Linked DNA regions of Danio rerio. The protein of the gene in region 2 binds, or shares a complex with, the protein of the main gene of each other region. Links are inferred from orthologs where the notes say so. Each region holds a gene or a part of one and is shown on either strand. Other genes may lie near its edges.

Region 1 (4,295 bases), on a different chromosome or scaffold from region 2:
AAAATCACATGTTGATCCCCCTTTGGCAGTGATTACAGCCTCGAGTCTTTTGTTTGCCCGTTCCTCTTTGCAGCTCCTCTCAGGCTCTATCAGGTTGGATGGGAAGTGACGGTGTGCAGCCATTTTCAGATCTCTCCGGGGATGTTCAATAGGATTTAGGTCTGGGCTCTGGCTGGGCCACTTGAGCACATTCACCGAGTCATTGTGAAGCCACTCCATTGATATGTTGGCGGTGTGCTTTGGCTCATTGTCCTGCTGGAAGATGAAGCGTCGCCCCAGTCTGAGGTGGAGAGCACTCTTGTGCAGGTCTTCATTCAGGATGTCTCTGTACATCGCTGCATTCATCTTTCCCTCTATCCTGACTAGTCTTCCAGTTCCTGCTGCTGAAACACATCCCCACAGCATGATGCCAACACCACCATGCTTCACTGTAGGGATGCTGTTAGCCTGCTGATGAGCGCCGCCTGCTGTTCTCCAAACGTAACGCCTGGCGTTCACTCCAAACAGTTCAGTTTGAGTCTCATCAGAGCAGAGAGTTTAGTTTCTGATGCTCGGATGATGGAGGCCGCTGTGCTCACTGGAGCTTCAGAGCAGCAGAAATGTTTCTGTCACCTTCCCCAGCCTTGTGCCTCCAGACAATCCTGTCTCTGAGCTCTACAGACAGTTCCTTTGTCTTCATGCTTGGTTTGTGCTTTGTCATGCACTGTCAACCCTGGGCCCTTATATAGACAGGTGTAGCCTTTACAGATCCTGTCCATCAGCTGAATTGAGCACAGCTGAACCCCAATGAAGCTGCTGAGACATCTCCAGAATGACCAGTGGAGACAGAATGAACCTGAGCTCAGTTTAGAGCTTCACGCCAAACACTGTCAATACTGATGCACAGGTGATTTATCAGGTGTTTATCTTTAATAAATTTGCAACTATTTCAAAATGTCTTTGTTAACATTGTCATTATGGAGGATTGTGTGTAGAATGTTGAGGAAATCAAGGAATTTAATCCATTTTGTAATAATGCTGTAACATAAACCAATGTGGAAAAAGTCAAGCGCTATGATGTTCAGTAATTTCATAGTTCTAGTGAATAATTTCCATTGAATTGATATTTCTATTGCATTACAGTGAAATATCTGAACATAAACACTGGAGGCTGAGAGAGAAGATACGTTTACATGAAAATGTCAGGCAGCACTGACATTTAACACTCGTACTACAGTTAACTCTTACTGTAAATACTCTTTCCTGCATCTGAACTCTTCATATAAGCACACACACACACACACACACACACACACACACACACACTTCTGTAATGGCACGTGTATGTATGACAGGTTTAGGAGGAAAGCTTTCCTCATGTGTCTGTTCTTCATAAGGCTTATTAATCAAACAGAACAAGTTTTTTTCCTCAGAAATTAAATATTAACTTGGTAACACTTTATAATAACTACACACTATGAATCATTTGTCATCAGCATATAGTGAATTCATAATCTGTTAAGCATTAGCTCTACATTAATAAAGGTTAGTAAGCAGTTTATAACTGCAGCTGCAAATGCTGTACTCTTGACACATTTATAACGTGCTTCATCATTGTGTTCATGATTTGTGAGTGATTTATTTTTCATTACTAAATTAAGTATTGTGTCATTTACAAACCAGTTATTTAAGAGTAGTTGTGTTTTTTAAGATCATTCAGAATAAATAAGTTAATCATTAATAATATGTATAAACATTGATTTCAATACTTTATTATTCAGGCATATATTAATAGTTAATTAGTATGTTAATAAATGTTTTATTAAGTCAACTTGATCCAGCTTTGTGACCTGATCTAAGGACTATTAATGCTTTATGAATCCCTTATAAATGACAATTAAAAGCTCAGTATCGAATGAACAATATTCCATGCAATATTACCAAAAAAATAAAATTTATGTAAAAATTAGAGAAAGCAACAACAATATAATAACTTAACAATATATTATGATGCAACATTTTAATGTTATTTAGTGAAGATTACAGTGTACAGAGGTTTTATTTTAGATAAGGTTGCAAAGATTCCTTTTTCATTTGATGCAGTTTTACTGGTGTATCTTAAAATTAAAATTTAAAAATAATAAATTAAATAAAAGTCATTTATTTTCTGTTTTTCCTGTTTAGAATATAACTGAGCCTTTAATTATCATTTATAAGTCATTTATAAAGCATAAATAGTTCTCTATAGATTAAGTCACAAAACTGGATAAAGTTGAGTTAATAAAACATTTATAAACATACTAAATAACTAATAATAATAATAATAATAATATATAAATGTAATTTGAATAGTTTATTAATCCTTTACTGACACATTCTGAATTATCTTTAAAAACCACCATCTATTCTTAAATGATTGGTTTGTAAATAGTGTAATACTTACTTCAGTCAAAATTAATTATTAATAACATAATGACATGCTTACTAACCTTTATTAATGTAGAGTTACTGCTCAACAGATAATGAATTCACTATTTGTAAATGCTTAATAAATTCATAGTGTGTAGTTATTATAAAGTGTTACCATTAACTTTCCTGTTAGGTGTACAGTTAGAGTTAGACAATAGGAAATACAATATATACTGTGTGTGTGTGTGTGTGTGTGTGTGTGTGTGTGTGTGTGTGTGTGTGTGTGTGTGTGTGTGTGTGTGTGTGTGTGTGTGTGTGTGTGTGTGTGTGTGTGTGTGTGTGTACCTCAGTGCTGCGCTGCTCCTGATCTCCTCCACTCCAGCATCTGCTCCTCTTCTTCTGCTCCTCTACACATCCTGTGAGAATATCCTGCAAATGATCTTGTTTTTTCCTTTTGAGCGGTGTTTGGGGATTGGGCAGATATCTGACCTCCTCCCTCTCTCTCTCCCTCCCTCTGACTCTCTTACTCTCTAACCCAGTCTCTCGGTATCCTAAAACATGAACTCTTATCGCTTCAGAAATCTCCCCTGTGTGTGTGCTGCTGTGTAAATCAGAGTTTCCCGCTGCTCTGCGCTCTCCGCTGCCCGAGAATGAGGCGCTCTGGTCCGGCCGCGGCTGCAGGGATTCCCGGCTGGAGGTAAACTCCGCCTTATATTCCAGAGCTATATCCACACAGGACTGGTTTCTGTGGCTCAATGACACAGAATAAATCGATGTTGAAAAGCTGAACTTGTTTTAAAGCTGAGCTGAGCTTCATCCAGTGTGAGCGTCAAACACGTCCATCCAGCGCACACACACAGTGAGAAGTGAAGTGAGGCTTGTCAACGGTGTCATTCACCCGTACTCGAGACTGGTCCTCTGCTTAGATCAGAAACTACGGGAGCAGAAGTGACGCGTGCAATTTATTTATAAACAGCTGAAGTCAGAATTATTCGCCCCTGTTTATTTTTCCCTAATTTCTGTTTATCAGAGAGCAGATTTCTCCAACACATCTCTAATCATAACAGTGTTAATAACTCATCTCTAATCACTGATGTATTTCTCTTTGCCATGATGACAGTAAATATTAAATAATAAATTAGACAAGATATTCTTCAAGACACTTCTATACAGCCTAAAGTGACATTTAAAGGCTTCACTAGGGTAATTAGGGTAACTAGGCAGGTTAGGGTAATTAGGCAAGTTATTGTATAACGATGGTTTGTTCTGGAGACTATCCAAAACAATAGAGCTTAAAGGGGCGAATAATATTGACCTTAAATGGTGTTTAAAAAATGAAAACTGCCTTTATTCTAGCCGAAATAAAACAAATAAGACTTTCTCCAGAAGAATAAATATTATCAGACATACTGTGAAAAATTCCTCAATCTGTTCAACATTATTTGGGAAATATTAAAAAAAAATTTAATTTAAAAAAAAGTTGTGCAAAGTGCTTCACATCAATAAAACAATAATATTAATGAAATAAAAAACAAAATTTGTTTATGGTGGTTTTATTTATGGTATATTTTAAAAAAGTTTTAAATGAATATATATATATATATATATATATATATATATATATATATATATATATATATATATATATATATATATATATATATATATATATATATATATATATATATATATATGCGCTATGTGTCCTGTAGTAGGCTGTGATTAGAAAACAATAGAGTATTGCTATAGATGACTGCAGCATGTGTATGTGGTAATGTAGTTTTCCATCTAAAGACACTGTTGTTGATGGTCTTCTCACGCTCCCCTGTCTCCATCTAGCGGGCATCTGCTGCAGTTAGGTGAAAAGCTATTGTCGGATCTGAATGAAAAATGTTTCTATTACACCA
Region 2 (3,482 bases):
TCCAATTCTGTACAGTAAACACAAGCCATAAAAGTTTAACTGATAATTTATTAAGTTATTTCTTCCATATATATATATATATATATATATATATATATATATATACACACACAGTTGAATTATTAGCACCCGTTTTTTTCCCTAATTTCTGTTTCACAGAGAGATTTTTTAACACATTTCTAAACATAATAGTTTTTATAACTCGTTTTTAATCACTGCTTTATTTTATCTTTGCCATGATGACATTAAATATTATTTTATCTGATGGTTTTCAAGACACTTCTATACAGCTTAAAGTGACATTTAAAGGCTTAACTAGGTTAATTAGGTTAACTAGGCAGGTTAGGGTAATTAGGCAAGTCATTGTATAACGATGGTTTGTTCTATAGACAATCAAAAAATATAGCTGGCTAAAAATGGCTTTTTAAAAAAATAAACTGCTTTTATTCTAGCCGAAATAAAACAAATAAGACTTTCTCCAGAAGAAAAAATTTCAGACATACTGTGAAAATTTCCTTGCTCTGTTAAACATCATTTGGGAAATATAAAAAAAGAAAGAAAAAAATTCAAAGGGGGCTAATAATTCTCACTTCAACTGTATGTTTAATCTTAATACTTAAACATAAAATCAGAACCTGAAATGTCTCAAATGTCTCAATTTGATTTATCTACTAAATAATACTATAAAAATACTAAATATAATAATAATACTAAATAAATTTGGCATCTTTATAGCAAACAATGAATACAATCACTTTAATGGCAACATGTAGTACAGTTTTATGACACAATAGATGTACAACAGGTAAAAAACAATCTATCATTACAAGTGTGATACAGTAGAGTCAAGTAAAATAAAAAGAACAAGTTGAAAAAAAGAATTAAAAAATCCCCTCAGAAAGTGCTGGGTCTCAAGCACCTCAGTGTGTTGTTCTCTTAACTTTGCTCATCAAGACCAAACGGAAATGATGCTTTCAGCAACACTTGCAGGTTTTCACAATCATATTTGACAACTGTTCCACCTGGGGGAAAATACATTGAGCTTTATTTAGATGGCATTTACTGAGAGCTGATGAAAGTGAGAAAATCCGTTCTGACCTTATGCTGTCTCCCCACATAGTAAATGATGGGCAGTGGGTCTAGAACCTGAGGTACACAGCAGGGCTGAGCAGAGGCACCAGGATTATGATGCCTATATAGTGCAAGAACCTGTAGGCAAAATTACATTAAAAAAAACAAAACTATCAGGCACGTTTTTTTTTTTTTTTTTTTTTTTTTTTTTTTTTTTTTTAAGTACATTGTGAAACATCCAACTCAATTTCATGATAATACAATATGTGCCTATCGTGAAATTTTTTGCAAAAATTTTTGCATGCTGTTTAAACGTTTGCATTAAAGTCCCACAAAATATTTCATTTTAACTTGTCAAATTAGCCTCTATATGCATGTAAGCAGAAACGGCATATTTAAATGCATATAAGCAACTGCTTTCGAAGCACATGGCATGGCTTTACATGCTATTCTGACACTCCAGAAACGACAAAACAAGCGAATAGGAAAGGAAGAGGTTACAGCTTCAGGACTGAACCCGGACATTTTTGAAAGAAAGCGGTTACATTTATAATATGTATTAATGGAAAAGCCTGTGTTTGTAGCTTACAGATTCAACTCATTGACTAGCATATTAATGCTCTGTTCTGATAGGTGTAAATGTGTAAAGCTAGATTAAGGGGTGTTAATATCCAGGGTGTGTGAAAAGTAACGAGGCAATATTTTATGGCAATGAACAGTTATTTTTCTGTAAGGTTGTAAAACAAAGCTTGTCAGTTACTAGGTTGTCCTGATTACATAGCACTTAAACAATGTCAGCTTTAAAGGTGTTTCTCCAACCAACAATCACAATAACAAATGACATGTCATATTTTAAAAAGAAAAAAAAAATAGCAAGACTTGTTTTCAGGTATCAAGCAGAATTTTGAAAAAGTTCTTTAAAAGGATCAAGCTCTCTGCATGACAAAAGCAACACTGTACCAGCTGAGCTACTGAGCAAGTTTTCTGGAAAAGCCATACATGTATACACTAAAAAATATATGGTCAATTAGTCCTGACTGCATATGTTGTAGATCACTGTAACTTATTAAACTAAGTTAATCATGTTCTAACTTAATTTTGTAAGATACGCAAGCTGTTTTAAGTCAGTTTAACATAATATAAGTTTAATTGACTTAATTGTTAATTTGATTCAGCTTAAAAATCTAAGTCCACCAGTATATTTTTCTACAGTGTAGGTATGTCCAGCCTGATCTCACAAGGAAATGTATCTATTTTACATTTTGTCAGTTTAGGGGTTAATTATTACAAATTCTTATGAGTTCAGTCGTATGAAAATGTACTATTTTAAAAAGAAGGCATGGCACCCAACCCCACCCCTAAACCCACCCGTCATTGGGGGATAAGCAAATTGTACTAAACTGTATGAATGAGATCATACAAATTCATACGAATTAACCACTAAATCAAAAAATTATGAATTGCCTTGAGATTGTGTTGATATGTTGTGCAAAAGTCAAAATGTATGAGCTTTTGAATCACACGTTATGGTAAAAGTAGCATACAGAACTGTGTTGAAGGGACTGTTGAAGGGTTACCTGTGAGTACTTATTTTCTGATGTCCAGACATAGGAGCAAGAGCCAGTGCAATAATTGGCATAGTAACCGGAAGGTTCATGAATCCACTTCCAGCCCAGGTCTTTGCGGAAGTCAATGTACAGACTCCTAACACAGCAACCCTCAGACTTTCTGTATTCAACACGCAGAAGACAGCAGTAAGGCTTCTGATGTAGCACACAAATACACAAATACAATACACAAATACAGTGAAGATCAAAATAACAAAACGATTTATTGACCTTTTTTTCACAGAAATAGCTATAACATGCTAATCAACCCATTCTGTGTCCACACCACATGCTGTTAGTAAAGGTTAGTCTAGGCATTTTATCCACAAATTTTTCTCTAATTTTGATTTCCACTAAAAATAGATAGATGCACTCACTGGCCACTTTATTAGGTACAAATGTCCAACTGCTCATTAACGCAAATCAGCCAATCGAAAAACATTGCCTAGTCTAATGAGTCTTGATTTCTGCTGCAACATTCAGATGGTAGGGTCAGAATTTGGCGTCAACAACATGAAAGCATGGATCCATCCTGCCTTGTTTCAACGGTTCAGGCTGCTGCTGGTGGTGTAATGATGTGGTGGATATTTTCTTGACACACTTTGGGGCAAGTACTACTATTTGAGCATGTGTCTGTCAACACCACAGACTGCCTGAGTATTGTTGCTGACCATGTCCATCCCTTTATGACCACAGTGTACCCATCTTCTGAGGGCTACTTCCAGCAGGAGAACGTGCCATGTCATAAAATGCAAATCCTCCCAGACTGGTTTCTTGAACATGACTATGAGTTCACTGTACTCA
Region 3 (4,302 bases), on a different chromosome or scaffold from region 2:
AGTGAATAAATCTCAATTATTTGGATTTTTTAATTTGATTACATTAAATAACAGGTGTCACTTTAAAACTGCACACATCCAATGTTATAATTGAAGCATTCGATTGCTTTCCTAACTGTTTAACTGTCTAATCCGGAACAGGTGCGTGTGAGTGGTGCATGACTGGATTTGGTAGTCCATGTACTGGCGGATTTGTAGTTCCTTATCTAACTGTGTGTTTACGATCTGCCAGGATTAGATTGCTGGTGATTGTGACAATAACAGGCAAATAACAAGCCAGTTAATAGTGGGAATTGTCACTGAAACTAAAATGTTACCAGAATAACTTTTAGATTACATTCAAAATATTTCAATATAATATTACGCTATATAAGCAATTAATCTTTAAATATTTTCACTAATAGTTACTAATCCAATAGCTGGTTGGCCTACCAACCATTACAACATGTACAATACTTCAGTTAATTCAGTTAATAATGTTACAAAAGCCTTACAAGAAAAGCCATTTCAACAAAATATAATTAGACTACTGACTATAAGCAGAATTGAGTTTGTTAGAACTCCTCTGGGATGTCTACTAAAAGAACTAGCTGTCTTGGACAAGAAAGACTTCAAAACAGGACTGAAAACAGCATCTACTGTATTTAAAACCATCAAAACTTATAATACTGATATTTCATCAAGTAGCCAATGCAAACAATTAATACAGGCTGAATTTAAACAAACAAATTAAATTTAGTAAATTTAAATTTAGCTTTAAATTTAAATTAGTTCAACTTAATTTATTTGTTTAAATTGTTTAAGCTCATATATTGTTTGCGACGACTTACCTTAAAAAAAAAATTTAGAAAAAATGAGCCTCACTGAACAGACCAGTGCTCATGATGAGCGTGGGTTATTATTATTACATACCACAGGCAATAGAAGCGGTCAGCGGGCTTTAGCCAATATTCGACATGTCAGAGGACTCGATTTAACATTCCATTCATCAGTTCACTTATTAGCATCCTCCCAAACCCCATTCCCACTGGGCCATTACATCTCTGCAGAGATCATCTGTAATGTGCTGAAAGCCAAAGGAATGCCCTACCAGAACACATGTGTGCTCATACACACACACACACACACACACATGCACACACACGCACGGAGCAGCAGTGACTCGTGTTCAGTTAAAACACAAGGATGAGGTAATGGCCCATCCTGCTCCATAGGAAAACAAACAGGGCTTTGAAAGAAGCTATAATTCAGGCTTTCTCTGCGCCACCCATATGTCTCTGATTCACTGAACGCAACCTGCTGGAAAACACATTCTTCTCTCAAAGGTAACAAATTGATCTCACACCAGCAGAAAAAAAAAACAAGTACAGCTGCCACCATTTTCTGCAATTAATTTCATCTATCTATCTATCTATCTATCTATCTATCTATCTATCTATCTATCTATCTATCTATCTATCTATCTATCTATCTATCTATCTATCTATCTATCTATCTATCTATCTATCTATCTATCTATCTGTAAATACAGTGTTTTTGCTGTAATTAATTTACAGTAAGTTTCTGGCGAACTGCCTATACTGCATAATCTATCTACCTATATCTGTCTGTCTGTGTTATTTTACTATCATTTTAGAATTTATTATTAATTTAAACTATAGTGCTTATTTTTATATAATCAAATTATTTTATTTATTTGACAATTTTTCATGATTCAGTAGCCTAATTTGGTTATGGGCTTTTGTAATCTTCTATTGTTACATTGTCCATGCTATTTTGTTTTGTTAAGTTTATCATAACATTTAGATTTAAATTTTAGCATGGGGCTGCACGGTGGTGCAGAGTCCAAAGACATACGCTATGGGGGATTTGGGTAAGCTAAATTGTGTATGTGTGTGAGTGTGCATGGATGCAGCTGGAAAGACATCCGCTGCGTAAAACATGTGCTGAATAAGTTGACCGTTCATTCGCTGTGGTGACCCCAGATTAATAAAGAGACTAAGCCGAAAAGAAAATGAATGAATGATTTTAGCATTATTAAAGGTTAATTACAGACATTAGCCCTGCTGTGGTTAAACAGTTTACGCAGCTAAGCTTTTAAATTTCAGTTTTTGCTTCTTTACTACAAAAATAACTAGTAAAATGTTCCCGGCAAAGACAAATTAGTTATGAATTAGTTATAAAAAATGTGTCGTGCCTCTGTTAATCATTACTTCGAAATATTTATCTATTAATTTTCCTTCGCCTAAGTCCCTTATTTATCAGGGGTCACTGCAGCTGAATGAACCCCCAAATACTCTGGCATATGTTCTACACAGCGAAATGTTTTTTTTTATTATATATAAAAAAAAAATTATAATGCTCAAAGGAGCCAATCATTTTGCCCCTTTTTTTTTTTTGCAACACTATACTTTATTTATTTATTTATCTTTGCACTTCCTGTTGCATGTATACTATATGCTAACCAGTGGCCAAGAGTGCAATATGGGTATTGGGACAGGCCCAAAGTCTTATTATTTTAGTTTCCAGATCGGATATGGACTGTTGAGGTAAAATGCTCTGGTAGTGCTGTAATCTTGCCTATTTTTTTCTTATAACATAGAGCACACAGTCTGACGTAAGCGGCAGTTAAACAGTCTCACCGTCTGGCTTTTACCCAGGAACTCACAGGGGATCATCCTTCTGCACAGTCTGAGCAGAAACAGTGAAGTGTTGGGTCTCCAGCTGATTGAGTCTCTGCAGTGCCCGCTGTGCCGCTCTGGATGAATCTTCACTGTTTTTGTCTGTTGTGGACGCTGACGCCATGGCAACCTCTCTGGCGGAGTTCCTCATATCTTGAAAAGGGGAATGGAAACAAGAGGGGGAAAAACACTGCGATATTCCCACTAAAGCTCCTGGAAAACTGTGCTGGAAAAAGACAGAGATGAGCGGAGAGGATATCAGCCTGGAGCATAAATAAGAAAGTTACGTAAACCTATTGACAGTTTACAGATTTGGGGTATTTTCTGGCGTGACGAGCTTTGACTGTTTATGATATTCCAAGTCATTTAAAGAGTAAGTAAATTATGTTAGTGTATCTACTGTATAATAATTTACACACATCACCTTTAACCTCTTAGCCAGCATCAGGACGTTGCCTCAGAAAAACAATTCCAGAAATGTAATTTTGCATGAGATTGCCATCAAATTCAAAACATATACTCAGGAGATGTGTGGCTTTTGACCTTTTACTTTTCTGTATTGCTCCAGGTCTAATTTCATCCATTATATATTTGTTTATGATTTTTTTTTTAGCATTTTAAACATTGTAAAACCCAAAATCTTCTTTCCAAAGATACATGAAATGTAAATGTAAACTAAATAATTGTTACTGGTTTCATTTAGGAAGGTCATTTTTAAGAAAGTGCCTCTGACGGTGAGGGAGAGGACACCGATATAGTCTCGGAAAACTTTACAGAAATCTTATTTCAGCATGTTATCTTCATCAAATTTGAAATATAAACTCATGAGACACTTGGCCTTAAGGAATATTTTTTCTAGGCTATTATATGACTGATTTCATGTCTCTGTATATGGAAAAACAAATATTTCTTTCTCATTACTTTACAATGTATAACTTTTCATATTTTTAGCACAAAATATTCTAGATAAAGCTCAAAGTGTCTTCATTCCTATTATAAATTGTTACACCTAATAATTATAATTTTACCTAATTTTTTTTTGTAGCTCACTGGGGTCAAGAACTGTTAGTATTCAAATTTAAATAGGTGTAAATCCCCTTAAATAAGTACTGGTTAAGCCACTAAAACTACACTGAAAAAAATATTAATTGCATTTGCTACATTTTTAAGGTAAGTGGTTGCAATTTAAACTAAATTTAAACATACAAATTAAATTTAGCAATGTTCAACTTAATTTGTGTGTTTAAATTCAGCCCATATACATTGTTTCCAACCACTTAACTTAAATCAATTGAATGCTTTTTTTCAATCTTAATTACATCTGGGTTAAAATCAATGAATCAATAAATAATAATATTTCTATACCCCTTTTAAAAATACATTACAATTACTTTATAAAAATAATACAAAAAGGAATAGCACCATCCTATTTTAAATAATTAAATTATATATAATTAAAAAATATATACAACATTAAATTTAAACACACATATTCTTGTATATATACACTACTGATCAAAAGTTTGGGGTCAGTTTTTTTCATGTGATTTTTAAAGAAAATGATTCTGTTCATCAAGGCGGCACTTATTACATGTAATAAAAAAACTGTTAAATATTTATT

Evidence for each region. Proteins that work in one complex are often made in the same cells at the same time.
Region 1: the proteins of tgfb1b (region 2) and lrrc32 are in contact, whole or in part, in a cryo-EM structure (PDB 8VSC), measured with the Homo sapiens proteins. The link is inferred for Danio rerio from reciprocal best matches to the Homo sapiens genes TGFB1 and LRRC32. Residues at the interface, in NP_000651.3 of Homo sapiens: Leu30, Ser31, Thr32, Cys33, Lys34, Pro325, Pro327, Tyr328, Ile329, Trp330, Ser331, Leu332, Thr334, Gln335, Tyr336, Val339, Leu342, His346, Ala353, Pro354; in NP_001122394.1 of Homo sapiens: Ser135, Tyr137, Glu158, Ser160, Thr162, Val184, Met186, Asp187, Ile188, Glu189, Asp190, Phe193, Leu202, Leu204, Arg206, Asn207, Ser208, Leu209, Thr210, Cys211, Ile212, Ser213, Asp214, Phe215, Ser216, Leu217, Leu223, Leu225, Cys227, Ser229.
Region 3: the proteins of tgfb1b (region 2) and tgfbr2b are in contact, whole or in part, in a cryo-EM structure (PDB 9FKP), measured with the Homo sapiens proteins. The link is inferred for Danio rerio from reciprocal best matches to the Homo sapiens genes TGFB1 and TGFBR2. Residues at the interface, in NP_000651.3 of Homo sapiens: Arg303, Lys309, Trp310, His312, Tyr368, Tyr369, Val370, Gly371, Arg372, Lys373; in NP_003233.4 of Homo sapiens: Phe47, Leu50, Phe53, Asp55, Ser72, Ile73, Thr74, Ser75, Ile76, Cys77, Glu78, Val100, Asp141, Glu142.

The regions. Positions count from the first base shown.
Region 1 is NC_133185.1:556,917-561,211, reverse strand, and holds the start of lrrc32 (transforming growth factor beta activator LRRC32), read right to left. Parts: upstream 2,809-4,295; 5' UTR 2,734-2,808; intron 1-2,733.
Region 2 is NC_133196.1:23,078,450-23,081,931, reverse strand, and holds the end of tgfb1b (transforming growth factor beta-1 proprotein), read right to left. Parts: intron 2,800-3,482; coding exon 2,649-2,799; intron 1,210-2,648; coding exon 1,099-1,209; intron 1,023-1,098; coding exon 975-1,022; 3' UTR 512-974; downstream 1-511. UniProt on the Homo sapiens protein: Transforming growth factor beta-1 proprotein: Precursor of the Latency-associated peptide (LAP) and Transforming growth factor beta-1 (TGF-beta-1) chains, which constitute the regulatory and active subunit of TGF-beta-1, respectively.
Region 3 is NC_133191.1:44,030,603-44,034,904, forward strand, and holds the start of tgfbr2b (TGF-beta receptor type-2), read right to left. Parts: upstream 2,809-4,302; 5' UTR 2,643-2,808; intron 1-2,642. UniProt on the Homo sapiens protein: Transmembrane serine/threonine kinase forming with the TGF-beta type I serine/threonine kinase receptor, TGFBR1, the non-promiscuous receptor for the TGF-beta cytokines TGFB1, TGFB2 and TGFB3.